Oryctolagus cuniculus: one gene and its partners. The protein of the gene in region 3 binds, or shares a complex with, the protein of the main gene of each other region. Links are inferred from orthologs where the notes say so. Each region holds a gene or a part of one and is shown on either strand. Other genes may lie near its edges.

What was found.
Region 1: the proteins of MYO5A (region 3) and SPIRE2 are in contact, whole or in part, in a crystal structure (PDB 5JCY), measured with the Homo sapiens proteins. The link is inferred for Oryctolagus cuniculus from reciprocal best matches to the Homo sapiens genes MYO5A and SPIRE2. Residues at the interface, in NP_001369276.1 of Homo sapiens: Asp1551, Val1554, Arg1555, Thr1559, Ile1562, Asn1563, Lys1566, Ser1597, Gly1598, Leu1615, Thr1616, Asn1617, Phe1618, Asp1619, Leu1620, Ala1621, Glu1622, Tyr1623, Val1626, Asp1629, Leu1630, Gln1633; in NP_115827.1 of Homo sapiens: Arg404, Pro405, Arg406, Val407, Leu408, Leu409, Lys410, Ala411, Pro412, Thr413, Leu414, Met417, Glu418, Met420.
Region 2: the proteins of MYO5A (region 3) and RAB11A are in contact, whole or in part, in a crystal structure (PDB 5JCZ), measured with the Homo sapiens proteins. The link is inferred for Oryctolagus cuniculus from reciprocal best matches to the Homo sapiens genes MYO5A and RAB11A. Residues at the interface, in NP_001369276.1 of Homo sapiens: Ile1660, Gln1661, Trp1738, Met1742, Arg1745, Tyr1746, Ser1749, Gln1750, Glu1753, Arg1756, Gln1777, Gln1780, Val1781, Lys1782, Lys1784, Met1795, Glu1818; in NP_004654.1 of Homo sapiens: Arg33, Glu35, Ile44, Gly45, Val46, Glu47, Phe48, Ala49, Thr50, Gln63, Trp65, Gln70, Tyr73, Ala75, Ile76, Ala79, Arg82.
Region 4: the proteins of MYO5A (region 3) and MLPH are in contact, whole or in part, in a crystal structure (PDB 4KP3), measured with the Mus musculus proteins. The link is inferred for Oryctolagus cuniculus from reciprocal best matches to the Homo sapiens genes MYO5A and MLPH. Residues at the interface, in NP_034994.2 of Mus musculus: Asp1524, Val1527, Arg1528, Leu1531, Thr1532, Ile1535, Asn1536, Lys1539, Ser1570, Gly1571, Leu1588, Thr1589, Asn1590, Phe1591, Asp1592, Leu1593, Ala1594, Glu1595, Tyr1596, Val1599; in NP_443748.2 of Mus musculus: Lys184, Lys186, Arg187, Leu188, Leu189, Ser190, Phe191, Arg192, Asp195, Phe196, Glu197.

Annotation. Positions count from the first base shown.
Region 1 is NC_091449.1:69,411,216-69,418,021, forward strand, and holds part of SPIRE2 (protein spire homolog 2), read left to right. Parts: intron 1-1,878; coding exon 1,879-2,235; intron 2,236-4,371; coding exon 4,372-4,452; intron 4,453-4,534; coding exon 4,535-4,699; intron 4,700-5,665; coding exon 5,666-5,752; intron 5,753-6,013; coding exon 6,014-6,137; intron 6,138-6,806. UniProt on the Homo sapiens protein: Acts as an actin nucleation factor, remains associated with the slow-growing pointed end of the new filament.
Region 2 is NC_091443.1:88,895,804-88,902,609, reverse strand, and holds part of RAB11A (ras-related protein Rab-11A), read right to left. Parts: intron 4,937-6,806; coding exon 4,743-4,936; intron 3,815-4,742; coding exon 3,734-3,814; intron 2,549-3,733; exon of another isoform or gene 1,211-2,548; coding exon of another isoform or gene 1,191-1,210; intron 1-1,190. UniProt on the Homo sapiens protein: The small GTPases Rab are key regulators of intracellular membrane trafficking, from the formation of transport vesicles to their fusion with membranes.
Region 3 is NC_091443.1:75,198,762-75,206,146, reverse strand, and holds the start of MYO5A (unconventional myosin-Va), read left to right. Parts: upstream 1-2,890; 5' UTR 2,891-3,085; coding exon 3,086-3,112; intron 3,113-7,385. UniProt on the Homo sapiens protein: Processive actin-based motor that can move in large steps approximating the 36-nm pseudo-repeat of the actin filament. Can hydrolyze ATP in the presence of actin, which is essential for its function as a motor protein. Involved in melanosome transport.
Region 4 is NC_091434.1:2,703,986-2,710,791, forward strand, and holds part of MLPH (melanophilin), read right to left. Parts: intron 6,798-6,806; coding exon 6,642-6,797; intron 5,279-6,641; coding exon 5,186-5,278; intron 3,932-5,185; coding exon 3,854-3,931; intron 3,362-3,853; coding exon 3,310-3,361; intron 1,299-3,309; coding exon 1,198-1,298; intron 1-1,197. UniProt on the Homo sapiens protein: Rab effector protein involved in melanosome transport. Serves as link between melanosome-bound RAB27A and the motor protein MYO5A.

The DNA of each region.
Region 1 (6,806 bases), on a different chromosome or scaffold from region 3:
TGGCGCTAGCTCAGCCAGTGAGCAGGGACCAGGGACTAGGAGGAAGAGGGAGGGGCCACAGATGGGCTGGGAGCTGCTCTGTGCAGGAGGGCGTGGGGGCTTTCCTCCATGAGGTGGCATGGCTGGGGCTGGACACAGAACCAGACACGACGGGTCAGCAGGGAGCTGGGAGGCAGAGGCAGGATGGTGTGGAATTCGACCTCCATCTTGGCCTCTGCCTCTGGGTCCGAAGGAATTGATGGGAAATGAGGTGAACTGTGGTTCTTGCTGGTCCTGCATCCCCACCCCATTGTCGCACCTGGAAGGGGTTGGAGGCCTCTGCCCAGAGGCCCCCACCCTGGCATCCCCTCAAATGTGGCCAGCCCTTAGGCTTCCACTGCCTGCCCTGTGACCCCGCCTCTGGGGTGTGCCAGAGCAGGGCTAAGGTGAGCTGGGGGTCAGGAGTTTTCTACAGGACACAGGATGCCGTGTTCTGGGCCCCACGTTCTTCTGGACCCCACCCTGGCCATGCCAGGCTTGGGCTCTGGTTCCTGTGTGACTGGAAAACCAGTGGTGGGGCGGGGGCTTCCATTGCCTGGGTTCCCCAAGACAAGAACGGGTGGGAAGAAAGAGGTTTGTTCAGCAGGCTGGCAGAGCGGACAGCTTGTCTCAGAAGAGCTTTTCTGCCTTGCTAGTTAGCAAGAGCAGTTTTAAAAGAAGCTGAGAGGGCTGGGGACCTCAGGGGCTTAGCTTTGATCTAAGGCTGACAGCTCGCAGTGCGTGGTCCTTGTTCCTGGCCAGGTGGCCGCAAACTTCTTCCTTTTCTGAGATCTTGTGATTCTAGCAGTTTTCCTGTAGTCTCTGGAATTCCTACATATCATTTGTGTGCTGAATTCACATTAGTCATCTGAATCAGCAGATAACTTTTGCTCATCAGAATGTGAAGGGGGACAGGAAGATGTAGCCTCCTACAGTTACAGGTGCACAGGAAATGAGAGGTCAAAGGACACCCCCACCCCACCCCACCCCCCGCCACCTGGGTAAGGTGGATCTAGATGAGGGTGTGGCTCGTCATGCCCCGGAGCGGGTGGTCCACCCTCTGCGTGCCTCTGTCCCCTTCCCTGTGAAACAGAAGTGCCAAATTCTATCACGGACGTCAAGTGGGTCCCACAGCAGCAGCGATTAAACTGGCCACTTTCCTCCTCTGGTGTAAATGATGCTGTTAGGTCACGACAATGACGGGTGTTACCTTCCGGGTGGTCTAGCAGCTAGGACGAGGTCTGACGTGGAGATGGGTTCTTCCTAGGAAAGCTGTCACACACAGTGAAACACGTACGATTTAGGTGGGTGGCCCAATGGAGTGCTGCGTCCCCAGCGCACGACCGAGACATGGCCCTCTCAGCCATCCCCTTGGAGCGAGCCCTGCCCCGCCCCCAGCCCGGCAGCACCGACCCCTGCTGCTGAGTGTAGGGTCTCCCCTAGACAACCGCGGTGCTCCAGCAGGCTGGCGACTCACGCCTGGGGTCCACGCTTTTCCCTCCTGCTCTGCAGTGTTCTCCTGGGAGCAGGTGGCAGGGTCACGTCCACCACTTGAGTACTTTGGTGGTTCCCAGGCCGGGGTTGCGGTGCGTCGGGGACAAGTGTGGATGCATTTTCTCGCCTCACTCAGTCCAGCAGCCGGGAGGGGAGGTGCTGAGCCATGCCCTGCATGCATTTTTACATGGCAATAATCAGCCATTACCTCCCAGAGGGACCTTGCTGTTGGGGGTTGGGGATGCCTCCTAGCGGGGCTCCATGTTTCCAGCCCCTTGCGGCCTTCCCCACCTGGCACTGGCTCTGGCTGCCGCCGCCCCAGCGCCCCCTGGTGACTTCCCCGTGCATCCCGCCTTCGTCCCGCAGATGGTGCAGTCGCTGGGCTTCGCCATCTACCGCGCGCTGGACTGGGGGCTGGACGACACTGAAGAGCGGGAGCTCAGCCCGCAGCTGGAGCGGCTCATCGACCTCATGGCCAACAGCGACTGCGAGGACGCCAGCTGCGGGGCTGCCGACGAGGGCTACGGAGGTCCCGAGGAGGAGGAGGAGTCCGAGGGCGGCCCCCGGGTCGTGCGCACCTTCGCCCAGGCCATGCGGCTGTGCGCTGCCCGGCTGACCGACCCTCGGGGCGCCCAAGCCCACTACCAGGCCGTGTGCCGAGCCCTCTTCGTGGAGACCCTGGAGCTGCGTGCCTTCCTGGCCCGAGTCCGGGAGGCCAAGGAGGTGAGAGGGGTGTGGGGGTCACAGGAGGTGGGAAGGGCCAGGGCATGAACAAGGAGGTGTAGGGGCAGGCAGCCCTCTGCTGTGTCCTGGGCACAGTTTCAGGGCCCAGGCTCTCGGTAGGCTGTGATCTAACTCTCCCACCTTTTCACTGAAGGAAACTGAACCCAGGCAGTAGTGATTGACCCCCAGCCCCTAAGTGGTCACGTTGCCCGCTGCTTTCTCTCGTCTGCAGAGGGGGCTGCCTGCTGCCTCCTGGTCCCAGCTCTTTCTGGAAGTACTGTGCTGAAGGCAGCTGTCTGACTGCTCAGGACAGACTCGGGGCTGGTGTGCAGCCAGTGAGAGAACCGTGCTCGCATTTGTGGCCCCTGTGCTCACACCACCCCTCTGAGATGGTCTTACCAAGGAGCGAGTGCAGGCTCTGCTGGGTTGGGTCCCCTGCCTGAAGCCCTAGCTGATGTGGGCCAGCGAACTGCCTGCCTCTTCAGGGACCTGGAGTCAGGGGTCAGAGGTCTCAGCCTCTCCCGGGGGAGTCGGTGCTGCTCCAAGGTGGGTGTGCACCTCCCAGATGAGGGCATGAAGCATGGCGTGGGGGTCGGGGGCAAGGTGTACTTCCCTGTCTCGCTCAGGTGCTGAAGGTCTCGAAGGTGAGGCTGGCTCCTGATCGGTGGGACTGTGCCGCCTTCCCTCACCAGGAGTGACCCTGGGGGGGGGGGTCTCTCGGGGTGGGCGTGGCTGGCACGCACCTGTAACCCAGTCACGTGCCAAGATGAGCAGTTTCCTTCCCTCCCCAGGATTCGCAGGCGCTGGTGGTGCTCTTGTCTTCCTCTGAACTCAGTCTGCCTTTTGCTCTGAGGCTTGCTGTCTGGACAGTGGAAGCCCACCCTTCCGCAGGGGCCGTCCGTCGGCCCAGGAGACGCTCCGGGAATTTGTAGTAGGGATGGAGAAAAAGGTCTGCAGCTGGGCGCAGCTGGACGGGCTAGCCCGCTCAGGAGGGACAGCTAGCCCTGCCCACAGACTGGCCAGGGCACACACTGGACTACTAGCAGAATCACGCCTGTGCCCTCAGAGTTGGCAGTGCTTTGGCAAGTAGCAGCTCGAGGTGAAAAGCCAGGACAGCAGGATAGCCGGTTCTGCCTGGGGTGGTGGTACTGCCGTGTGCCAACGAGCATGGAGGAGTTAGTGAGAGACGGGCCCTGGCTCTCCTGAGCGCCAGCATCCTGCCCAGGCCTCAGGAGAGAATGGCTGTCCCTGTCATCGTCCCCGAGTTCTCACCCTGACGTCAGCATTTTTCTCAGCTCGCGCGGCTCACACCCGTGTCTACAGGATGTGCTCACTCAGACCCCCACCCACTGGTTCATTCACCCAGTCTTGGGGACCAAGCGTGAGCTACACTGTGCTCACTGGGTCCTAGCTGTGACTCCAAGCAGCAGCTAGGGATGGGGTTAAACTGCCACCCGGGGCGCCCACACCCCACATCAGGGTCTCTGTGGTCAAGCTTCCCGTCCAGCTGCCTGCCCACGCGCACCCTGGGAGGCGGCAGGGATGGCTCAGATACTTAGGTATCCGAAACTCCCAGAAGGCGTTTCTGGCTTTGGCCTGCCCGGCCCTGGCTGTTGGAGGCATTTGGGGAGAGTGAAACAGCAGGTGGAAGATGTCTCTCTCTCTCTCTCTCTCTCTCTCTCTCTCTCTCTCTCTCTCCTGCTCTTTCAAATAAACAAGTAAATTTTTTTTTTTTAAAAAAAAGAAGCAGCAAAGTGTAAGACTGAAGCTGGGATCATAGGTGGACACTTGGCCTGCCTAGGTGCTCCTGAGACAGCGCTGTGAGTGAGACACACACCTGCGCCTGCTGCGTCAGTTGGGAGACGGCGCCACATGGGTGCCCTGTGGGTGTCAGGCTCCTGTCCACCGCTACCCTCTGACAGTGTCCTGGGCAGGTGTGGACATAGTGTGCACTGATGGCTCCAGCCTGGTCTCTTGAGTTCCTCAAATGTCTGCCTGAACACCCAGGCCGAGCCCATGTGCCCGCTGGCCCCCTTTTTAGCTGGCTGCCTGGTAGCCTAAGCGTGATCAAGTGTTCCTGGGCACAGCGTGCGGTCTGCTGCTCCACGTTCAGGACTGACCAGGGGTGTGTCCTAGATGCTGCAGAAGCTCGGGGAGGACGAGCCGCAGGTGGAAAAGCCGCTGGTGGAACTCGACGACCTGGGGCGCACAGACTGGGTAAGCGGGTTCCCTCCTGACGTGGGGTGCCCCGGGGGTCTGTGCCTGTGCCTGAGGGCCCTCTCCGTCCCCCTGGGCCCAGGCTCGGCTGTGGGTGCAGCTCATGCGGGAGCTGCGCCACGGGGTGAAGCTCAAGAAGGTGGAGGAGCAGGAGTTCAACCCCCTCCCCACCGAGTTCCAGCTGACGCCCTTCGAGATGCTGATGCAGGACATCCGTGCCAGGAACTACAAGCTGCGAAAGGTCATGGTGAGCTCAGCAGCGCTCCGCCCCCTCTCGGTCCCACAGCAGCTCCAAGACGCCCCGCTCCTGGTGCTGGGTGCTGAGCCCAGCCTGGGCCAGGGTGTGAAGGAGGCAGACGCAGCCCTCGGTTCCCACGGCTCAGGGTCAGTGTATGGATGGCAGGCAAGGGGAGGGAGAAGATCCTGGAGAATCAGGAACGGCCCCAGAGGAGGCCGCACAGGAGCCAGGGCCCCAGGGTCTCTCCTCTGGGACACACTGTGCCACCTCCTGAGCGCTCGTGCCACTTAGAATCGTGCACGCCAAGTTCATGGCATCTACGACAGACCCTTTTCCAGAGGAATCTGAGGTCCCGGAAGCCCAGTGCCGGCAGGGGCATCAGACCCGGGATGCTGCAGCCGCGTCACCGTGTGGCTGGAGTGTGGCCGTCCCGGAAGCCCAGTGCCGGCAGGGGCATCAGACCCGGGATGCTGCAGCCGCGTCACCGTGTGGCTGGAGTGTGGCCGTCCCGGAAGCCCAGTGCCGGCAGGGGCACCACCAGACCCGGGATGCTGCAGCCGCGTCACCGTGTGGCTGGAGTGTGGCCGTCCCGGAAGCCCAGTGCCGGCAGGGGCATCACCAGACCCGGGATGCTGCAGCCGCGTCACCGTGTGGCTGGAGTGTGGCCGTCCCGGAAGCCCAGTGCCGGCAGGGGCATCACCAGACCCGGGATGCTGCAGCCGCGTCACCGTGTGGCTGGAGTGTGGCCGTCCCAGAAGCCCAGTGCCGGCAGGGGCACCACCAGACCCGGGATGCTGCAGCCGCGTCACCGTGTGGCTGGAGTGTGGCTGCACAGTGCACCTGTGCAGAAGGCGGAGGGGTCACGGGGATCAGAGCCCGGGAGGGGATTTGGGGTGAGGACCAGGCTGTGGTCAGGGCACCTGGGCACCAGCACACAGCCCCTGCAGCGGGAGCCACCTTCCTGTCTCCCTGCAGGTTGACGGGGACATCCCTCCCAGGGTGAAGAAGGATGCCCACGAGCTCATCCTGGACTTCATCCGCTCCCGGCCTCCACTGAAGCAGGTGAGGGCTCTCCTGGAGTCCACCCAGGAGCTTTCTGGACGCAGCTGGGTCCAGGCAGCTTGGTCCTCTCTTGCCTGCTGACTGGACTGGGCCCTGGCCCTGGCCCACACAGTGTAGCCCTGGGCCCTCGCCCTTCTGGGAAGCACCGCGAGGACACCCCACCCCCCACCCCAGGTGCACACAGAGCCCACTGGGGGTCCCACTCCCTCCTGTGGGCCTGCTTGGCATGCCTGGCCTCCCAGCAGCCCCCTGGCCACACAGGTGTCGGAGAGAAGGCTTCGCCCGCTTCCGCAGAAGCAGAGGACCCTGCACGAGAAGATCCTGGAGGAGATCAAGCAGGAACACAGGCTGCGCCCCGTCGGGGGCCCACGCTGGGGGGCCCGTGGTGAGCCGGGGACGGTGGGGGGCTGAGATCCCTCTTGTCCTGGTCCGGCTGCAAATCAGGACCTGGGGCCAGCCGTGGGAGGTTCCACGTGGAGGCTTGCGTCCTATGTCTGCGTCTTGCCTTTCATCCCATTTGCCATTTCACATTTTTTTTTTCACAATGATGTGACAAATTTTGATACTTAGGAGGAAAATAAAACCAGTTTTTAAGTGGAGGAAGACGCATTTGTTCAGCGTCTGAGGCCTCCTCCTCCTCCTCCTGCTAACAGCCTAGGTGGGTCTTCGGGTGGAAGCCTCTTACTGCTCAGTGGTCAGCGCTCAGCTTCCCCTTCTGTAAGGTGTGAACTAAGCAAGGCAGTGCCCATGAAGCTGTCAGGGCCCTCCCTGGTCCTCCAACCCGGGCTGCACATTCACCACCCACCCTCACCCCTGCTAGGGTTCAGTTCTCTGCCCAGTCCCACCCCAGGCTGCACACTTACCACCCACACCCACACCCACCCCCTCCCCAGGCTGCGTGCTCACCATTCACCCCTACTCCCTCCAGGGTTTGGCTCTCTGCTCACTCCCACCCCCACCCCCACCCCCTTCCGAGGCTGCACGCTCACTGCCCAGCCCAGCCCCTGCCAGGGTTCGGCTCTCTGCCCACTCCCACCATGGCCAGGGTTCGGTT
Region 2 (6,806 bases), about 14 Mb from region 3:
GTCTTTCAAATAAATAAAAATAATTCTTAAAATAGCACCTAGTCCCAGCCATCATGGCCATGTGGGGAGTGAAACAGCAGATGAAAGATATCTCTTTCTCTCTCCCTGACTCTCTTCCTTTCAAATAAATAATTCTTTAAGGGGGGGGGGGGTGGCATTCACAGCACATCTGTAGTGACCCTACCAAAAGTGAATAAGCTAAATTTAACCATCAGAAACATCAGAGAAATCCAAACTGAAGGACATTACAAAACAACTGGCCTGTACGCCTCAAAAATCTCAATGCCTAGGGGCCGGTGCTGTGGCACAGCAAGTAAAGCTGCCGCCTGCAGTACCAGCATCCCATATGGGCACTGGTTCAAGTCCCAGCTGCTCCACTTCCGATCCAGCTCTCTGCTATGTCCTGGGAAAGCAGTAGAAAATGGCCCAAGTGCTTGGGTCCCTGCACCTGCATGGGAGATCAGAAGAAGCTCCAGGCTCCTGGCTTCAGATCAGATCAGCTCCGGCTGTTGCAGCCAATTGAGGAGTGAACAAGCAGATGGAAGACCTCTCTCTCCTCCTCTCCTTCTTCTTCTGTGTAACTCTGACTTTCTAATACATAAATCTTAAAAAACAAAAAGCAATGCCTATAAACAAAAGGCAAAGAAACCATTTCAGATGGGAGTGTAAAGAAATGACAGCTGAATGAAATGCTTTGCTAATAAGGACACGGGAATAATCGACAAAATCTGAATGAGGTATATAGCTAACTAATTTTGATCTTTATTCTATGGTTATGAAAAAGAAATGCCCTTGTTTTTAGGAAATACAAATTGAAAAGTACTTAGGGATTCCTAATGCTCCTGGGAAGGCAGCAAAAGATGGCCCAAGTACTTGGGTTCCTGCCACCCACATAGGAAACCCAGATGAAGATCCAGCCTCCCAGCTTTTAGCTGGCCCAGCCCTGGCCACTGCAGCCATTTCAGGAATGAATTGGAGAATAGAAGATACCTTTTCATGTTTCTCCCTTTCTGTCATTCCACCTTTCAAATAAATATATATTTTTAAAAAATAAAAGCTTTTTTTCTTCCAGCAACATACAATGTAAATATTCCTTTAATACTGTTAAATTTAATGTAGAATCAGCCTTAATGAGGTAACTGTTCTCTTTTCTGTTTTTCCTATGTATTAATATTCCCACTGGCATTTAGGAGGAAGAAGAGAAGAGTGAAACAGAAGTTCACTGTTAAAAGAAAAATGAGACATACAAGTAACTGCAGATGGAAGGAAAGACTTGGTCTCATCTTCATTCAGAATCAGAATAAATGCACTAGAACTATAGAAGAGAGTGGATGGGACATTAAAGATCCCTAATACTGAAGACTGATGGGGTATTCAGAGGCTTTAAGAGACTCACAGACGTTGAGTTGATTTAAAACACTCGGAGATCAGAGAGGTTCAGTGCCTTAGATTCACAGGGAGTGAGAGCAAAGTCGTGAAATATAAAACCCTAGAACCCCTGAATCTCAATCTAGTACTCTGCACACTAACTAAACAAAGTCCACACACGGCGTTCTAAGAAAACCAGACCTTGGCTGTCTGAACCAGCAATGCGCTTGACACAGGGAAGACTCAATGAAAGCTACTGTGTTACCCAACCCCAGCACTAGCTCTTCTAAGTTACTATTCTTCTGATAACAGATACATAAGTCACCAAAGTGTATTTTAACCAGTTTTTGTCCCTCATGCCATAACTGCTATTTAGTAACTAATGTATCAAATGTTCACTGTGTAGCGGGATAGCTAAGTATTTTACAGGCAATAGCTTGTGCTCATTTTTGGTACCCAGAGTTGTCTGAGTGACACACCATTCTTTTCTATGAATTTCAGAAACAAAACACCTGATAGGTTGCAACACAACAGTCAAATGAAATCATACCACAAGGTTTTATAAACACAAACTCTCTCTCAAAACAGAAATAAAAGAACTTCCCCAAAATTTTACAGATGAAGAAGATCTTTAAGGTTAAGGAACTTGCCTAAGATTTAGAGCTAACAGTAAGTGAAGGAGTCAGGACTAGCACCCAAGTCAGGCCTCCAAGTCCATGTTCTTAATTCCTAGGCTTTATTCCCAACTTTTTTTTTAACAGTAAAATAGTATTTTAAAGCTGAAATCTGCTTAACTCTAATACAAGTACTATATACAAACATTAAATTAAAACTTGGGAACTGGAAACTCATTAATAAACATTTCTCCATATAAACTTTTTAAGACCACCACCACATAAGACTGTCCTATATATTAAGACAATATTCTGGGGTCAGCGCTGTGTCGCAGCGGGTTAAAGTCCTGGCCTGAAGCACCAGCATCCCATGTGGGCACCGGTTCGAGACCCAGCTACTCCATTTCCGATCCAGCTCTCTGCTATGACCTGGGGGAGCAGTAGAAGAGGGCCCAAGTCCTTGGGCCCCTGCACCCATGTAGGAGACCCGGAAGAAGCTCCTGGCCCCTGGCTTTGGATCAGCGCAGTTCCGGCCATTGTGGCCATCTGGGGAGTGAACCAGCGGATGGAAGACCTCTCTCTCTGTCTCTACCTCTCTCTGTAATTCTGTCTTTCAAATAAATGAAATAAATCTTTGGAAGAAAAAAAAGAAAAAGACTATACACTAGGCCAGCACTGTGGTGTGCTGAGGTAGGCCTCCACCTGTGGCGCTGGCATCCCATGTGGGCGTCAGTTCATTTCCCGGCTGCTCCTCTTCCAATCCGGCTCTCTGCCTGTGGCCTGGGAAGGCAGTGGAAGATGGCCCAAGTCCCTGAGCCCCTGCATCGGTGCAGGAGACCTGGAGAAGACCTGGCCCAGCTCCAGCCATTTGGAGAGCGACCCAGTGCAGAGAACCTTTCCCTCCGTCTCTAACTCTGCCTCTCAAATAAATAAATAAATAAAACTATATTCTAACTCACGAGTTCTTAAACGTACTATACAGTTTATGGAGTGGGCATTGTGCCACTGCGGGTTAAGCCACCTTTGCAATGCCCACATCCCATATCAGTACTGGTTTCAGTTCTGGCTACTCTACTTCCAGTCCAACTTCCTGCTATCACATCTGGGAAGGCAGCAGATGATGGCTCAAGTACTTGGATCCCTACCACCCATGTGGGAGACCTGGATGGACTTCCAGGCTCCTGACTTTAGCAGGCTGGCTACTGGGGTCATCTGAGGTGTGAACAGCAGACAGAAGAAAATTCTTGTCTGTATCTCTCTCTCTTTCTCTCTCACTGCCTTTCAAATAAAGTAAATCTTCAATTGAACTTTTGTATATTCAATCACTGGCTGATTTTATCTGCAAGTGACAACCTGCATCTTCCACATCACAGCAGAGTTTTCTTTTCACTTAACTGTTTAAAAATTTATTTTTTCCTAGCCTTTTCTATTCTTTACTGAATTTCTAAAACACATTTATATCTTTCCACATCAAGGTAGATTTAAACATAACTTCAGCTGTGACTGTGATAACAAAAGTGAACAAATAAGCCTCAAAACATTTTTCCCATATAAAGATGAATTGGGATGACTGGAGCTCAATGAACAAGATCTGTAACTAATTTTGTACTGCAAACAGCTCTTGCTATAGTAGTTCTCAAATGACAGTCATTCTCCAATGGTGCGATACATAGCTTCCTGAACAATCTGCTTTTATGACCTTCCTGAAACTTCCAATTCCAACTGGTATAATCTGAAAATGCAAATCTTACCTGTTAGAATTGTTTGAAAAGCAGCTTCTACATTTGTAGAATCTAAAGCAGATGTCTCAATAAATGACAAACCATTCTTTTCTGTGGGGAGACACAAAAACTCAGTTTTGTCAAGTTTTACAAGTAAAAGAAAGAATGTCATATAATTAAGCTCTCAAAAAAGAAAATAACATGACTTTTTAAAATCTAAGACTGTGCCAACTTCTGGGACCGAAAGGGCACCATTCTGTTTATACTCTACCAGACTGAAGTTTTCATTGGCTTCTTGATTAAATATTTATTACTCTAAACATTACCAATAGCAATGAATGAGATCACTCAAAATGTAGTAAACTTACCAAACACTCAACTGTGCTCATTCCTTACAGTCCTCTGCATCCCTATGGTATTCACTTAGAATTTTAGAATTCTGTTATTATTGAAATAAAGTTTCTTCTTGTCTGGGAAACTAAAAACTGTTATGGAAAACTATTCACAGCATAATCACTAGTGCAAGGTCATGACTTTCACTAGCTAAGAATGCATGATGTTGCTTTCTGATAAGCTGCCCTTAACAAAACTGGGGCAGGACCAAGAGAAAGGCAGATCCTCTATGGGACCAAAGACAGCTCCTAAGCAGCTGTCTCCCTGTTGGTCCCTAACAATGGCTAGACCCATCTAGAGCTGCATTGGTAAAATACAGGCTTGATGGAAAAGGAGGTAGAACATGCTTCATTAACAGATTTCACCTACCACTTCAAGGGACAGAAAAGAGGACAACATTTATTTTCTGTGTTTTTTTTTTTTTTTCCCCACAAAAACTCAAAGTCTTGGTGTTTCAGTAACTTGAAGTTCAGCTAAAGAGCCATACAGTAATCACAAACTTTCAAAACAATCATCTTTGTTGAGTAATCATGTTTACTTTTCTGAAACTATTACAACTACCCTCAGTGAAAGAGTGAAGAAACTGCAAGACATAATAGTAAAAACTACAGAATCACTGTAATAGCATGGGATTCAAATCACTAACCTGCAAAAGCTCTTGCTTCATCGGTAGGAACTGCCCTGAGATGACGTAAATCACTCTTGTTACCCACGAGCATGATAACAATGTTACTATCCGCATGATCTCTCAGTTCTTTCAGCCACCGCTCTACATTTTCATATGTGAGATGTTTAGCAATGTCATAAACCAATAAGGCACCTACAGCTCCACGATAGTATCTGGAAACAGAAACACACACATTTTTAATTTTTTATTTACTCACAGTAATTGAGAGGCAGAGAGACAGAGAGAAAGGGGTAGACATTGCTCAACTGCTGGTTCACTCCCCAAATACCTGGCAGCTGGGAATTTAATTCAGGTCTCCCACATGAGTGGCAGGGACTCAAAGACATGAATCACCACCTGATGCTTCACGGAATCCAAAGCAGGGTCGGGACGCAAACCCAGGTACCCCAATATGGAATGCAGGGGTCCCAGTCACTGCACCAAACACCCACTCTCATTTTGTTTTGCTTATTTATTTTCATCCACTTGAAAGGCAGAGACAGCAAGAAAAAGATCAATCTTCCATCTGCTAGTCAACTCCCCAAACGCCTGCAACAGCCAGGATACCAGAACTGCATCCAAAACTCCTGTATGAGTGGCAGAGGCTAACACCTGAGCCATCGTCTGCTGCCTTCCACAATGCATCAGCAGGAAGCTGGATTGGAAGCAGAGTAGCCAGGACCTGAAGTGGCACTCGTAATATTTATTTATTTGAAAGAGAAATCTCCCATCTACTGGTTCACTCCCTCAAAGAACCACAACAGCCAGGGTTGGGCGAGGCCAAAGCCAGGAGCTTCCTCCTAGTCTCCCATGTGGATGCAAGGGGCTAAGCACTTGGGCCACTTTCTGCTGCTTTCCCAGGTGCATCAGCCAAGGAGCTGGATCGGAAGCAAAGCAGCCAGGACTGGAACCCATATGGACGCCAGCACTGCAGGTGGCAGCTTAACCCACTGTGCCACGGTGCCAGCCCCTCAGCACTCTCAATACGGGACACAGCTGTCCCAAGAGGCGGCTTAACCCACTGTACCACAATGCCTACCCCTAGAAACATATCTTGTTTCCAACTTGTGGTTGCCTTCCCATACAAACATTTACCAGAAAAGAACAACAAAATAGAAGCAAACACCAGAAGAATTCAAAACATGGGTCACATATTTTTAAAAACACACTTACAGGGGCCAACATTATGGTGCAGTAGATTAAGCCAATGCTTGCAAGGCTGGCAATCCACATCAGGGTGCTGGTTGAAGTCCTGGATGTTCCGCTTCAACTCAGCTCCCTGCTAATGCTTGGGTCCCTGACACTCATGGGAGATCCAGATGGAATTCCTGGCTCCTTGCTTTGCCCTGGCCCAGAATCCAGTGTTTGGTTATTTGGGGAATAAGCTAGGATTATATCTGTTTCTTCTCTTTCAAACAAGTCTCTTTAAGAAACACACACACACACACACACACACACACTTAGAAATAAACATCTAAGAATCCTATCTGTGGTTTCACTTTCCAGTTTCAATTACCCACAGTCAAACCACAGTCTAAAAACATTAGATGGGAAATTCTAAAAATAAACAATGTGTACTTTCACTTTTTCATTTTATTTGAAAGAGAGGGAGAGACAGGGAGACCTTCCATCTGCTGGTTCACTTCCCAAATGCCCAAACAGTCAGGGCTGGGCCACACTGAAAAGCCCAGAACTCAGTCCAGGTCTCCCACATGCGTGTCAGACTCAAGCACTTGAGGCACCATCTGCTGCCTCCAAGGGTGCGCGTTAGCAGGAAGCTGGACTGGAAGGAGAAGAGCCAGGACTTGAACCAGGCACTCCAACATGGATGCAGCATCCCAAGTGGCAATTTAACTGCCTGTACTGCATGCCCACCCTAACAATACATATTTCTCAAGTGGCACCTGAGTAGCATAATAAGATCTCATGCAGTCCCACTCCATCCAGGCTGGGACAAATCTTCCCTTTGTCAGTTGTATCCATGCCACATAAGCTGCCCACCCATCAGTTACCAGATCAGCTATCGTGGTATTATGGTGCTTA
Region 3 (7,385 bases):
GAAGGTGAAGGCAGACAGCGGGGGTGACACAGCAGAAGCCAAAGAATGCCAAATGTGTGAGATAGCCAAGAAATTGCTAGAAGCCAGGAGGGACAGGAAGGAAGGCATGAAATGGATTCTCTGGCAGACCTAAGAAGAACCAGCTGGCACTTTGCTCTGCAACTTTTAGGCTCTAGGGACATGGGACAGTACTTTGCTGTGGCAACCCTAGTGAGCTAATGGCTAGGTTACACTTAACCACCCTCCCCTCTGACTTTATAATTGTTAGTCTCCCTGATGAGAATGTAAGCACCCTGAGGGCAGGGAATTTTATCTGGTTTATATGTGAATATTCAGCATCAAACAACAGTATGTGACACATGATAGCTCTCAATATTAGTTGAAAAATAATATCCAAGAATATGGTACTTTGGAGGAAAGGGATTTCTCATGTAAATTTGGACACTGTTTTCATTTGAAAACAACCTAGGAGTAGACATTGGGTGCAGTGGTTAAAGATTCCAGTTGAGGGGCTGGTGTTGTAGTGCAGCAGGTTTATCTAAAAAGATTTATTTATTTGAAAGCCAGAGTTAGAGGGAGAGACAGATCTTTCATCCATTGACTCACTCCCCAGATGTCTGCAATGGCTAGGGCTATATGAGGTGAAAGCCAGGAGCTTCATCTGGGTCTCCTGCATGGATGGCAGAGGCCCAAGCACTTGAGCCATCTGCTGCTTTCCCAGGCACATTAGTGGGGAGCTGGATTGGAAGTGGAAGAGCTGGAATAAATCAGCACTCATAGGGGATGTCAGCTTTGCAGGCCATGACGACCCACTGTGTGACAACAGTGACCCCTAAAATAAACTGAAGCAAAAATATTAAAAAATGCCAGTTGATGGCCACATCTCATGTTGAAGTGCCTGAGTTCATTCGCATCCTGATTGCAGCTTCCTGCTAATGTGCACTCTGGGAGGTAGACAGTGATGCCTCAAGTAGTTGGCTCTCTGCCACTCATTTGGGTTGTCCGGGTTTTCAGATTCAGCCCCCAGCCCTGTTTCAGGCATTTGGGGTGTGAATTACTGGATGGGTGCTCTCAAATAAATGCAAATTTTAGGAAAGAAAAACCCATAGGGCTGACGCTGTGGTGTAGTAGGTTAAGTGTCTGCCTTGGCACCAGCATCCCATTTGGGCACTGGTTTGAGACCCAGCTGCTCCTCTTCTGATCCAGCTCTCTGTTTATGGCCTGGGAAGGTGGTAGAAGATGGCCTAAGTGCTTTTGCTCCTGCACCCTTGGTTTCTGTACCTAATGACAAGTGCTTGAGCTGAGTAGCTGTGTGCATGGTGGAGCATCTGGGCTTCTCACTTTTTTGAGTCTCTTCGTGAATGAACAAAGGTAAGGTCAAGGATAGCAAACCCTTCTCATAACCACTGTGTCCCTCTTAACTATTGTCCCAAATAGTTGAGTGATGAAATGCTCATATTCAGCAATTATAAGGGAATAACTACTTTCTCTTTTAGTGATAAAAAAAAAGTTCCAGCAGTAAGAAACATTCAAACCCACGAGGTTCAGTTTTTCAAGTTTTCTTTCCTCAGCATCTTCAGCATTTCTCAGCAGTCCAGAGGGAGGCGTTATCTGAAGGGTGAGAAATGAGGCAGGGTAGTGGCCACATAACAGTGCTTCTTTCTGTTCTGCTGGTCTTAACTGCATGTTTTCTCTCTATATGCATGGGTTTTAGAGCTGGAAGGATCAGAGACAACTCAGTGGGACTTTGGACTCTGTAGCCATTCCCTCTGGCTTGTCTGCAGTGAGCAGGAGGAGAGCTGAGTTGCAGGGAATGAGCACTGGCCCCTGTCACCTTCAGGGAATGGTTTTCCTTTAAACACACAGGCCCTGTCCTGAGAGCTGGTCATGATCGAAGTGGCACCGAATTCACACAACGGGCACTGGGCACCACTTAACAGCTCATAGACATGAGAGATGAACACTCAGGCTGGGACTGAACGCGGAAGATTATTTAATGAGGAGCAAGGGTGTAGGGGTGAAGACAGCATGGAGAGGGGGTTGGAAGTATCACATGCCTGTGCTTCATGTGCCAGGACAACGGTTAGGCTGAAGGCTATGACCTTTTAATACAGAGTTAAACTGCAGAGACACTTTACACGAAGTCCGCTGCCCTTTGCAAGCTTCAAGGGGTGCCATGAAACCGACAATCCCCAAATCTGCAAGGACAGGAGATGGGGCTGGGGGTTTTGAGGGGTTGTTGCGCCAGGCAAATGCACAGAACTAGATAAGAGGCGCCCAGGCTGTCTCATGGGGCGCCCCCTTTATAAGGCTCTCTTCATTTTCTGGAGGTCAGAACGGCCCCTACCCTCTGTGGACACCAGGTGTTCCGAGTGACCTTGCAGATCCTTCACCTCAAATCCCCGGGTTACTGCGGTTACCAAGGCTCTTCTGGAGTTTTAGGTTATTCTAACCTTTCGAGAAGACTTTCCCTGAATGCCAGCAGGCACAGGAGAAACAGCCTGGAGGCTGCCGGCCATTTACCTGGACACAGCGGCAAGCCCCTGCTGCTGCCGCCCCTCCCTGCGGGACTGGGCTCTTCTGCATCGTTCAGGGTTCGCTGCGGACGTACCGGGGTCCCGGGGAAGGTTTGGGGTTTCACTGGCTGGCAGGCTGAGGATGCTGGGTGCCCGCAACCGATGGGAGGCAGCGTGAGCCCGAGAGAGCCCGGAGCAGCCGCGGTGGCAGCGCTCGAGCGCAGCCTCCTCCCGCTCCCACAATGCACAGGGCGGCGGCGGCGGCGGCAGCATCGCGGGCCGCCGAGGTGGCTGCGGCGGCGGCGGCGACCCCGAGGACCCCGGGCACGCGGAGCGCTCGCAGCAGCTCGCGGCGAGCCCGGGAGTGATGGCGAGGCCCCCGCGGGCCGCCAGTGCCTGAGGCGCCGCGCCCCGCCCCGCCCCGCTCGGCGTGGCCCGCCCCGCCCGGCCCTGCCCCGCTCCGCTCCCTGCCGGCCGCTGCCCCGGCGCTTCCTAGTCGGCGCGGCCGGCAGCCCAGGCGAGGTGCGGCCTCGGCACAGGCGGGGGACGTCGGCGCGCAGGGCCCCGCCATGGCCGCGTCCGAGCTCTACACAAAGGTAACGCGCCCCGCGGGTCCGCGCCCTGGGGAGGGGCCACCAGGCCCGGGCCTCGGGCTGTCAGGCGGGGCGGAGGCGGGGGCGCCAGGGCCCGGCCGGCGCGGCCAGCATCGCCCGCTGGCGAGCGTTTCCAAACCCCTGGCGCTGCCCGCCCGTGGGCCGCAGCGGCACCTTCCTCTTTCCGGCGTTGACGTGAGGGAGGCCTGTCGCGGGGGTCGCCTGGCCCCCTGCCAGGCTGCTCGGGCTGGGGAGCGCGGGTTTCTGGGTGGAAACGGGGCCCAGGTGGGTTTCGCAGGGCGGGCCGAGGCCCGGGTTGCCTCTCCCTCCCCGCTCGGCTTGCGGAAGATGGTTGCTGGGGTTGATGCGATGGTCCCCTTCTTGGGGACGCTAGCTTAAAAGAACGTCTCTGTGTGGGTCTGCGGAGGTGCTTCGCAGCCCCGCGTTGGGCGGCTCGTCGGGTTTCACCTTTAGCGGCCCGGTTTCAGATGGCTGCCCTGGTGCGATGAGCCCTTGGGTAGGATGCTGCCGGCTAAGTGGGAGCTGATGCGAGAGCTGTCTTGGTCCACGGTCATTGTCGAGTTTGCAGCTTGCTTGGAATCCCTAGAGCCTCGTTAGGCTCCATGTCTTCACCTCCTGTGGGGCCAGCTTTTTCCTTCTGGGTTTTGATTAAGGGAAGTGGCAGCCTTTTCTTTCTTAACACTGACACCACTGTTCTCTGAGTCTGATCATCTCGAATTGGCATCTTTCGGAGAACTGTCCTGAAAATTTGTTTTGGGCAGTGTGTAGTGCCCTTGGTGGATGTTTGTAATTCTGGCATTTTATGCTGTAACTCATGTGTAAGTAGGTGTTTTGACAGTGATTGATTACCTAATTCGCGTTAACAGAATTGCCCCAACTTTTTGAGTTTGTATTTGCAACAGAGTCTCCATTAGGATCTAGGAATTGTTGCTTCCAAATGCGATGCAAGGATCTAGGAGTCATTGCTTCAGTTGTGACTCAAGGAAGCCCGGAATCCAAGTTCTTTTTTTTTTTTTTTTTATTTTATTTGAAAGGCAGAGTTACAGACAGTGAGAGGGAGAGAGAGGTCTTCCTCTTGTTGGTTCACTCCCCAAATGGCCGCAAAGGCCAGTGTTGCACTGATCTGAAACCAGGATGCATGCTCTTCATCCTGGTCTCCCACATGGGCTCAGGGCCCCAAGGAATTGGCCATTCTCCACTGCTTTTCCCAGGCCATAGCAGAGAGCTGGATTAGAAGTGGAGCAGCTGGGACTAGAACTGGCGACCGTGACCATATGAGATACCTGCACTGCAGACGGAGGATTAACCCACTGTGCCATGGTGCCGGGCCCAGGGGCTACAAGTTCTAACGCTTTATAAAGGGAAGAGGTCTGGACATCAGGACACCTGGATTCTGGTCCAGATCTTTTCGCTTACAGTGTGACTCTCGGCAAGTCACTTGACCCTCTGGTTCTGTTCCTCTTCTGTGGAAGGAGTTCATTGTACCTGCTCTGCAACCCTTCCATGAGTTTGTGAGGATCAAACTTAGAGGTTGTGAAAGCTTTTTTGTAACTTAAGGATTTCTCTGCAGATATGAAGTATATGATTGATTTCTTCAACTGAAATGAGCTGCTATGAGACATTCTCTGGGACTTTCTCTTTTAAGATTTATTTATATATTTGAAAGGCAGAGTCACAGAGAGAGAAAGTGGGGGGGGGGGAGAGAGAGGGAGAGATCTTCCATCCACTGATACACTCCCCACATGGCTACAAGGTTCAGGGCCCGCCCAGGCCAAAGCCAGGAGCCTGAAACTTTAAACAAGTCTCCCACGTGGATAACAGGGGTCCAAGTCCTAGGGCCATCCTCTGTTGCTTTCTCAGTCGCAATAGCACGGAGCTGGAAGTGGGGCAGCCAGAACTTGAACTGGCACTCATTTGAGAGGTAAGAGATAAGAAATCAGTCCAGGTCTTACCCATGGGTGGCAGGGACCAACTACTTGAACTACTGCCTCCGAGGGACTACATTGGCAAGAAGGTGAAATCAGGAACTGGACTTAAAAATTGAACCTAGGGAGCTGGTGCTGTGGTGTTGCAGGTTAAGCTTCTGCCTGCGTTGTCCACATCCAGTGTGGGTGCCGGTTCGTGTCCTGGCTGCTCCTCTTCTGATCCAGGTCTCTGCTAATGGCCTGGGAAAGCAGTGGAAGATGGCCCAAATGTTTGGGCCCCTGCACCCACGTGAGAGACCCAAAGGAAGCTCCTGGCTCCTGGCTTTGGATCTGCCCCGCTCCAGCCATTGTGGCCATCTGGGGATTGAACCAGTGGATAGAAGACCTGTCTCTGTCTCTCTCCCTCTCTCTGTCTGCACCTCAGCCTGTCAAATAAATAAATAAATCTTTTTTTAAAAAAATTGAACCCAGGCATTCCAACATGGATACTGGTGTCTTAACCACTAGACCAAATGCCCACTGCAAACAGGCCATCTTCAAATTACCTAACAATGAGCTGCTTAACTAGAAACTGATTGGATAATGAATTTTTGGGGGTTTAGATCTGATTTTTTAAAGATATTGTGATTTTTTTTAATTGTAAGGTTTTGTTCTTCAATCATACCTTTGTTACATTTGTTTTGTTATTTTTTATTGATTTTTTTAAAGGTGTATTTATTTACTTGAAGGTCAGAGTCACACAGAGAAGGAGGGGCAGAGAGAGAAGTCTTCCATCCACTGGTTCACTCCCCAATTGGCCACAATGGCCGGAGCTGCGCCAATCCGAAGCCAGAGGCCCGGAGCCTTCTTCGGGTCTCTCACACGGGTGCAGGGGCACAAGGACTTGGGCCATCTTCTACTGCTTTCCCAGGCCACAGCAGAGAGCTGGATTGGAAGTGGAGCATCTGGGACACAAGCCAGCCCCTATATGGGATGCTGGCACTGCAGGTGGCTGCTTTACCCACTATGCCACAGTGCTAGCCCTTGTTACATCTGTTTTAAAATTCACCTTTTATTAGCCAGCGTGTGGCATAGTGGGTAAAGCTGCCTCATACATCGCCAGCATCCCATGTGGGTACAGGTTTATGTCCTGGCTGCTCCACTTCCGATCCAGCTCCCTGCTAATGGCCTGGGAAAAATAATGGAAAATGGCCCAGGTGCTTGGACCATGAACATGGGAGACCCAGATAAAGTTCCTTGCTGTGGCTTCAGCTTGGCTCAGTCCTATGAACCAGTAGATGGAAGACCTCTGTCTAACTCTGACTTTCAAGTAAATAATCTTTTAAAAAATAAAATTCACTTTTTGTCATAAAGACAGGCTGGCATAGACATTAGATCTGAAGTTTGGGCTAAAGCTGCCTTATACACAATACACATATGCCCAATAGTATTCTGATCATTTAGTTTTCTCTTGGCTACTTCTTTTTGTGAATGGGCCTTAGATTAGTGACAGGCAGAGAGATTTATGGTGCATCCGGTCCTCTGCTTACTGTTGGGAGGTTCCAACAATGAATAAGACTCAGTCTTTTCCCTCAAGGGGTACAAATGTACCTTTTCTTCTTCTTCTCTTTCTACTTCCTTTATTTACTTCTTCGAAAGGCAGAGTTACAGAGAGATAGAGATATGAGAGAAATTTTCCATCAGCTGGTTCACTCCCCAGATGACTGCAATGGACTGGGCAGGCTGAAGCTGGGAGCCAGGAACTCCATATGGGTCTCCTGTGTGGGTGGCAAGGGGCCCAAGGACTTGGGCTGTCTTCACTGCTTTCTCTGATGTGTTAGCAGGGAGCTGGATTTGAAGTGGAGCAACTGGGACTGGAATCAGTGCTCATTTGGGATGCCAGCATCGCAGATGGTGGCTTAACCTGCTGTGCCACAACCCCAGTCCTAATACAGCATGCTTCTTATATCCTTCCTCATTTTGAGTTTCCAAGAGCGTAAATAACCCACTGTTGCCATAACAACAGATAGACAGCTGGTGTATTTGTTAGTAGATAGAGAACAGGTTGGGATGTGGGGAACGTTAGACTGACTCTAGAGATGAAAACTGGTATAGTAATTAGGGGAAGAGTGAAATGATTAGAAGTAGTATCAGTGGATAAACACAAGGATCTTTCTTTTGCAGAAGATAATAGACAAGGAAGTTCTGGGGTAAATTACAAGGAAAGATGTATTGGTAACATGCCATAATTACAGTATTCAACATTGTGGTTAAATCTGAAAAAAAAGTGCCCTTTAAAAAATGCCATTCAGTGCTTGCAGGCAGATTTTGATGTGTGATACAGATCAGCT
Region 4 (6,806 bases), on a different chromosome or scaffold from region 3:
AGGAAGCCGGATCAACACCCACGTGGGATGTGGGAAGAAGCCGGATCAGCACCCACGTGGGATGTGGGAAGAAGCCGGATCAGCACCCACGTGGGATGCAGGAAGAAGCCGGATCAGTACCCACATGGGATGTGGGAAGAAGCTGGATCAGCACCCACGTGGGATGTGGGAAGAAGCAGGATCAGCGCCCACGTGGGATGCGGGAAGAAGCCGGATCAGCACCCACGTGGGATGTGGGAAGAAGCCGGATCAGCACCCACGTGGGATGCGGGAAGAAGCCGGATCAGCACCCACATGGGATGCAGGAAGCCGGATCAGCACCCACGTGGGATGTGGGAAGCTGGATCAGCGCCCACGTGGGATGTGGGAAGAAGCCAGATCAGCGCCCACGTGGGATGTGGGAAGAAGCTGGATCAGCACCCACGTGGGATGTGGGAAGAAGCCAGATCAGCACCCACGTGGGATGTGGGAAGAAGCTGGATCAGCACCCACGTGGGATGCGGGAAGAAGCCAGATCAGCGCCCACGTGGGATGCAGGAAGCCGGATCAGCGCCCACGTGGGATGTGGGAAGCCGGACCAGCACCCACGTGGGATGTGGGAAGCCGGATCAGCACCCACGTGGGATGTGGGAAGCCAGATCAGCGCCCACGTCGGATGCGGGAAGCCGGATCAGCGCCCACGTGGGATGTGGGAAGCCGGATCAGTGCCCACGTGGGATGTGGGAAGCCGGATCAGCACCCACGTGGGATGTGGGAAGAAGCCGGATCAGCACCCACGTGGGATGCGGGAAGAAGCCGGATCAGCACTCACGTGGGATGCGGAAGTCCTCACCGCTGTCTGAACTGCTGAGCCCAACGCCCACCCTGGGGCAGCCTCTGAGCCCTGCACCCTCCCAGCCCAGTGGAGGGATGTCCACTGCTCCGGGTCCGGGGAGAGGTCCTCATTGGCCAGAGAGCCTGTCCTTCTTCCTGGAGCCCCACCCACTTCAGGGAGAGCAAGGCCAGGTCCTGACCGCCCTGATTTTGCTGTCGTCCTCAGTGGAGTCTCCCGGAGCCTTTAAGAAATGCTTTGCTTTCTATGAAGGCGACGCGAGCACGTTTTGCTGTAATTCCCAGGTTTCCTTCCGTATTCCTGAAGACCTGACGCCAGTCGTGAACCCCACTGGTTATGGACTTTTAGAGGGGAGCAAGCATTACCGTGAAGATGGCGCTGGCCGCTCCCCTCCTCCTGCTGGGGTTCCTCTGGGTCAGGGAGCCACGGTACGGGGACTTCCGGTCAAGAGAGACCTCATCTTTGCCTGGGAGAGGCAGGGAGAGGAGGGGCGTCAATCAGAAGCCTCCCCCAGGCAGGGGTGTGGCTGAAAGTAGCATTAAAGGGGACCTGGCCCCAGCCGAGGGGACCAGAGGACTACACGTGCAGATGGACATGTGCTTGCCGGCAGCTGGGTGCACGCTCAGCTCAGTCCCACCCTCCCCCGGCTCCCAGCAACCTCAGCAGCTTGTCCCCTCGGCCGCAGGGCTCCCGACGTGGGCAGAACCCAGAGGTCTGGCGTGCACATGGCCTCCCCTTTCCTTTCACTCTGTGACATGGGCTTGGGACTGACTCTCAGGACAGGTGCCTGTCAGCCTCCGTGGGTGGAGCTGGGGCTGGGCCTCAGGTCTGCATAGACACCAGCCGTTCTCATCTTGCCACAGGTGCCACAGGTGCCACAGGTGCCACAGGTCATGGCTCCCTGGAGCTGACCGTGCACCCCTGTCCTTGACTTGGGTCCAGGGATGCCAGCTGCTGGCCCAAAACCAGGCAGGTGTCAGAAGTGAGCATTCACAGGGCGGGAGCTACCGGACGCCAAGAGCCAAGTCTCTCCCGTCCCCTTCTGCTGTGAGCAGCCCTCTCCATTCTCGGCAGGTGCATCTTACCTAGGTGTCACCCATGTGTCCCTGCCCCTGAACAGCCTCAGGGAAGGGCCTGCCTGGGCCAGGGGACCCTCTGCCAGTGTGGGGCTGGCTCTGGTCGACTGGGGGACAAGCACTGAGGCCTCACCCACCAGGCTGGTGATGGAACGGGAGGGGCCATCCGACCCACTGCCCCTGAACACTGGCCTGAACGTGGGCGGCCTCTCGGCTGGACCAAACGCCCTTCACAAACCTGCCAGCACGAGGCCCACGTTCATGAACCCCCACAGCTCTCGGCCGTGGGGTGTGCTGTAATCGCCCTCGAGGTCAGCACGGGCACCCCAGGAGCCCCCGCTGGGAGCCAGCCCCCACGTGGGCCGTCTCTCTCTCCTGTGGTCCTGAGTCAGGGCCAGCTCTGTCCTGGATCGACCCAAATGTGTGCCGGGAGTTCAGCCAGCGACAGAGAGGCGGCTGGCACAGAGGAGGGGCGGGCAAGGGGACTGCCAAGATGTACTTAGTGCCGTGGGAGCTGGGGAGAAGCCCGGGTGGGCATGGACAGCTGTGCTCTGGAACCCACGTCTGCCGGAGCGTGGGTGTTGTCCCACAAGGCGCACCCAGCGTGTGCACAAGCGGTGCGGGTCCGCCAGCTGTGGCGAGATCCCACTTTCCTTTGCAGGCAGCTGGAAGCCAAGGGGGATGAGGGGCGGCTGCCTGTGAGGCCCACGGCTGTGGTGGAGTCTGACTGGGCTCAGGGGTGGTGCTGAGATCTGGGGGAAGGGGGGCGCCGAGGCGGCACAGCAGTGGAGGGCGGGGGCTGTGGTTGGGTTGCACACAAACGCCCCATGCCGGGCTCATGCCGGGGAGCCTGTGGGCCTCACATCCCACTTGTCCGGGACAAAGCTGCTGTCCCTGTCACCACCAAGACTTCATTCAAGGCTAAAGGACGAGCTGTACCCTCTAAGGACAGGGGCCTGTGCTGCCGCGGGACAACTTAGACTGGAAACCGCAGAGGACACTGTGGCTGCCATCACTGCCACCATCACCACGGCCACCATCACCACGGCCACCACCACGGCCACCATCACCACGGCCACCATCACCACAGCCACCATTACCGTGGCCACCATCACCACGGCCACCATCACCACAGCCACCACCACGGCCACCATCACCACGGCCACCATCACCACCACTGCAGCCGCCATCATTGCCACTGCCGCTACCACTGCCACTAGTAGCGCCCTTTGTGTGTTTATGGCAAAGGCCCATTAATGAGCTGCTCACGCTCACTGCTCTCGGGCCTGGGAGGGTTCTTGGGGGCTGGTGTCACCGTGTCCTTCAGGTGGCAGGGAAAGCCAGCCTTACCGAGTCCCCACCCCCAGGCCTGCATGGGGCCAGGGCGGCAGCTGGGCTCACCTTGACCTCTGGGGGAGTACTTTCTCCGCAGAAGGTAGGGCACGGTCTCGTCCTGGAAGGCAGAACCTGGGGTCACGGCTCAGTCGTGGCACTCATCAGCCCCCCCCCCACTCCGCTCCCCGGCTATTCCACCGCCCACCGTCCTTGCAGACCCAGAGACCCAGGGCAGCGGTGCCCTGTTCTCCGTCAGCAGCTGAATCAAGTCAGACCTCGGAATGTGAGACGCCCAGCATGGGGGAGTGGGGAGCGGGCGCAGGCTCGCCCACGATGGCGGGTGTGCAGGCATGAATGCCCCAGCTTCCTGGGCCCGAGCAGGAAGACCTGGAGACGTGAGCCCTGCTGGCCCCAGAGCTGCCTGGGGAGCGCATCCCAGTCTGCCTGATGTCAGAGGCTCACTCTCCCCACCCCCAACCCCTCCTGGGCTTTCCCAACACGCGCCCGGACACAGCCCTCGTCCCAGCATGTACATTCCAGCCCCGCCCCTCCCCGGCCTCGCCAGTCTGCAAAGCTCGGGCCCATCTTCCTCTCTTGGTCTGGACCACACCTTGGCTTCACCAGGAGGCTCTGTATCCGGGTCCTCTGGACGCTTGCTGGGGGTCCCGAGAAGCCGGGGCACAAAGATCTGGAGGACAAGGGAGAAGGTTCGTGTCGCGGCAGCCTTGTTCACCAGCCAGCTGCCGGCAGAGTCAGGGCACTGGACGTGGGACACACAGCCCTGCACCTCTTAGACGCCTGCTGGAGAGGGGGCTGGCGCGGCTGCCCCTGCTCTCTGCGCCCACACCCTGCCGGGGCTGCCAGAGCTCCAGTAACTCTGGGTCTCAGGTGCACGGTGATGGTTCGTGCGTGTGTCCCAGCCGCCGCACAGGCTGCACTGGGGCTAGAAGGCACTGCTGATGCTCTGAAAGCCAGGTTGGCCGGGCTTCCTGCATCTGCCGCCAGCCCTCTCCAGGCCCCCTCGGGAGGACCTGTGACTGCCCTGCCACGTTCCCCGCCGTGAGAGCTCTGATGGCTCCTCGCAAGGGTGGGAGAAGGGTGCTGGCCTCAGAGCACTGGGGCGGGGCCCTGGGAGGCCTCCTGTGCACGTGCTGTGGTCACGCCCCTCCCCAGGGCTGAGCTGGGAGCCCTCTGACAAGAGGCTGTCATTCAGGCTGCTGCTTTGGGTTTTTAAACCCTGTGAGTGTGTTGAGTGTGTGTGTGTGTCTGTGAGTGTGTACATGTGTGTGCACATAAGCATGTGTATGTTTGTTCATGCATTCGTGTGTCTCTGCATGTACATGTGTTTTGTGTGAATGCATTGTGTGCCGCTGTGTGTACAAACATGCATACACGCACATGTGTGTATTGCTTGCATGTGTATTCATATGTGCACACACATGCATGTATGTGTGCACATGTGTTCATGTGTACGTGTGTTTTGTGTGTGTAGGTATGTGTATGTGTGTATGGGTGTTTGTGTATGTATGAGTGAAGGTGTTTGTGTATGGCTGTTTGTATGTGTAGGTGTTTGTGTGTGTATATAGCTGTGTATGTGTGTAGCTGTATGTGTGTGTAGCTGTTTGTATGTGTGTGTAGGTGTATGTGTGTATAGCTGTTTGTGTGTATGAGTAGCTGTTTGTGTGTGTGTATAGCTGTTTGTGTGTATGTGTATCTGTGTAGGTGTGTGTGTGTATAGCTGTGTGTATATGTACCTGTGTGTATGAGTAGCTGTGTGTGTGTGTGTGTGTGTGTGTGTTTGTGTGCGTGGGCAGGGGCTGAGGGCACCTTCTTGGTGAGAAACACAGGCGGGAGAGATCCCAGCGGGGCAGAGCTCAGGAACAGCCCAGCGGGACCAGGCAGGCAGCTGGGGGCGCGAGGCCCCGGCACCCGCCCCACTCACCGGGAGGTTCGATTTCCTCCGGGGCTTTCCCGAGGGCTTCACCGTGAGCCCCGCAGCCCTCAAGGCAGCAATCCTGGACTCGATAGCGGACACCTGGGACGGACGGAAGGATGGACGGACAGACAGAGAGATGGCTGGAGTCAGCTGCCACCCAGACGTCCCACCCGGAGCCCGTGTACTCCACTCATGAGTCTCCCCGGGGGCATGCGCCCACTGCCCTGGCTCCCACGGCCGTCAGCAAGGGGGTGGGTATTCCTGCTGCCCCCACCCACCCCAGGCAGGAGCGGAGGAGTCCTGTGCACTTCTGGAGGCAGATCAGGGCTGGGGGAGGGGCAGCAGCAGCTCAGGGCTTCCCTGACCCAGCACCGCCCCCAATGCCATTGGCAACAACCTTGCCCTGTCTGTCCCCTCACCCTTAGGCCACGCTTTTCATGGTGGCCAGAGGAAGCTTCTGGAAGCAGAAGGCAAGCCTGTCTCTCCCCGTTCAGGTCTTCCTGTGGCCCCACAAATGTTCCTCGGGGGTCTCTGCCATCGGCCCCCTCCAGGACCGGCCTCCCACACTCTCCCCTCATCCCTGTGTTCCAGCCTTGGGTTGCTGCTGCTGATTCCCGGACACCCCAGGGCCTTGGCACACGCCACCCCTGGCCTCTTCTCATAGCTGCCTCTCATCACGTTCCCTCGGCAGCCCCGCCCCCATCTGCCCGCAGCATCATCTTCCCACGGATGCTGGCCATCCACCCTCTCCCACCGAACCCTCAGCTCCACGGCGGCAGGAGCGGGTCTGAGCTGCTCAGGTCTGCCCTCTGGCCCCCGATGCTGGATGCACCCCAGGGATTCACAGAGGATCTGCAAGCCAGGGAAGAGTAACGGAAAGCGAGGAGCTGAGCCGGAGTCGCCCCCGGGATGTGGGCAGCTCTGGGACTCGTGTTCCGAGTCGCCCCCGTGATGTGGGCAGCTCTGGGACCGTGTTCCGAGTCGCCCCCGTGATGTGGGCAGCTCTGGGACCGTGCTCTTCCTCCCTGGGAACTCAGGCTGCTGAGAACGGCCCGAGGCCGGGCAGGGGTCCTGCTGTCCCAGAAGTCACGGGGCGACCCTGGGAAACCAATGCTTTGGCTCTGACCTTTGACCTGTGCACTGCGGGCGCCCCTCACCCAAACTCAGACCCTGCGTCCACAGCGCAGGCCCATGGGGAGGCCCTGGCCAGAGCCTCCGGCTATCCAGGGTCTAAGCCCACTTCTGGCCTCTCTTTACGGGCTGCAAGCAGCCGTTTCAATCCTGAGAACTCTGCCTGCCTCCCACTCAGTGCAGCAGCGTGGAGACGCAGGGGCCTGGGAGGAGGCAGCCATCCTGGACCCCAGACGCTCTGTGCGAGCCCCACAGGCCGACTGTCACAGCCGGTGCACCCCGCACACCCGGTGGCTGGCACCCGTCTTGGTGACACCCGGGACTGGGCTACCTCGCTCTCTGCCTGCTGAACCTCGGAGGCCGCGGCCGCCACCCTGTCCTCCAGCGCCGACAGCTGCTCGTCTGTGCTCCTGCTGGGCTGGGCGGGGCCCCCGGCGCCCTGAGGGCTCTGTCCCCGGCCGGGCGTTGGGCCGGCGTCTGTGCACACCTGGGAAAG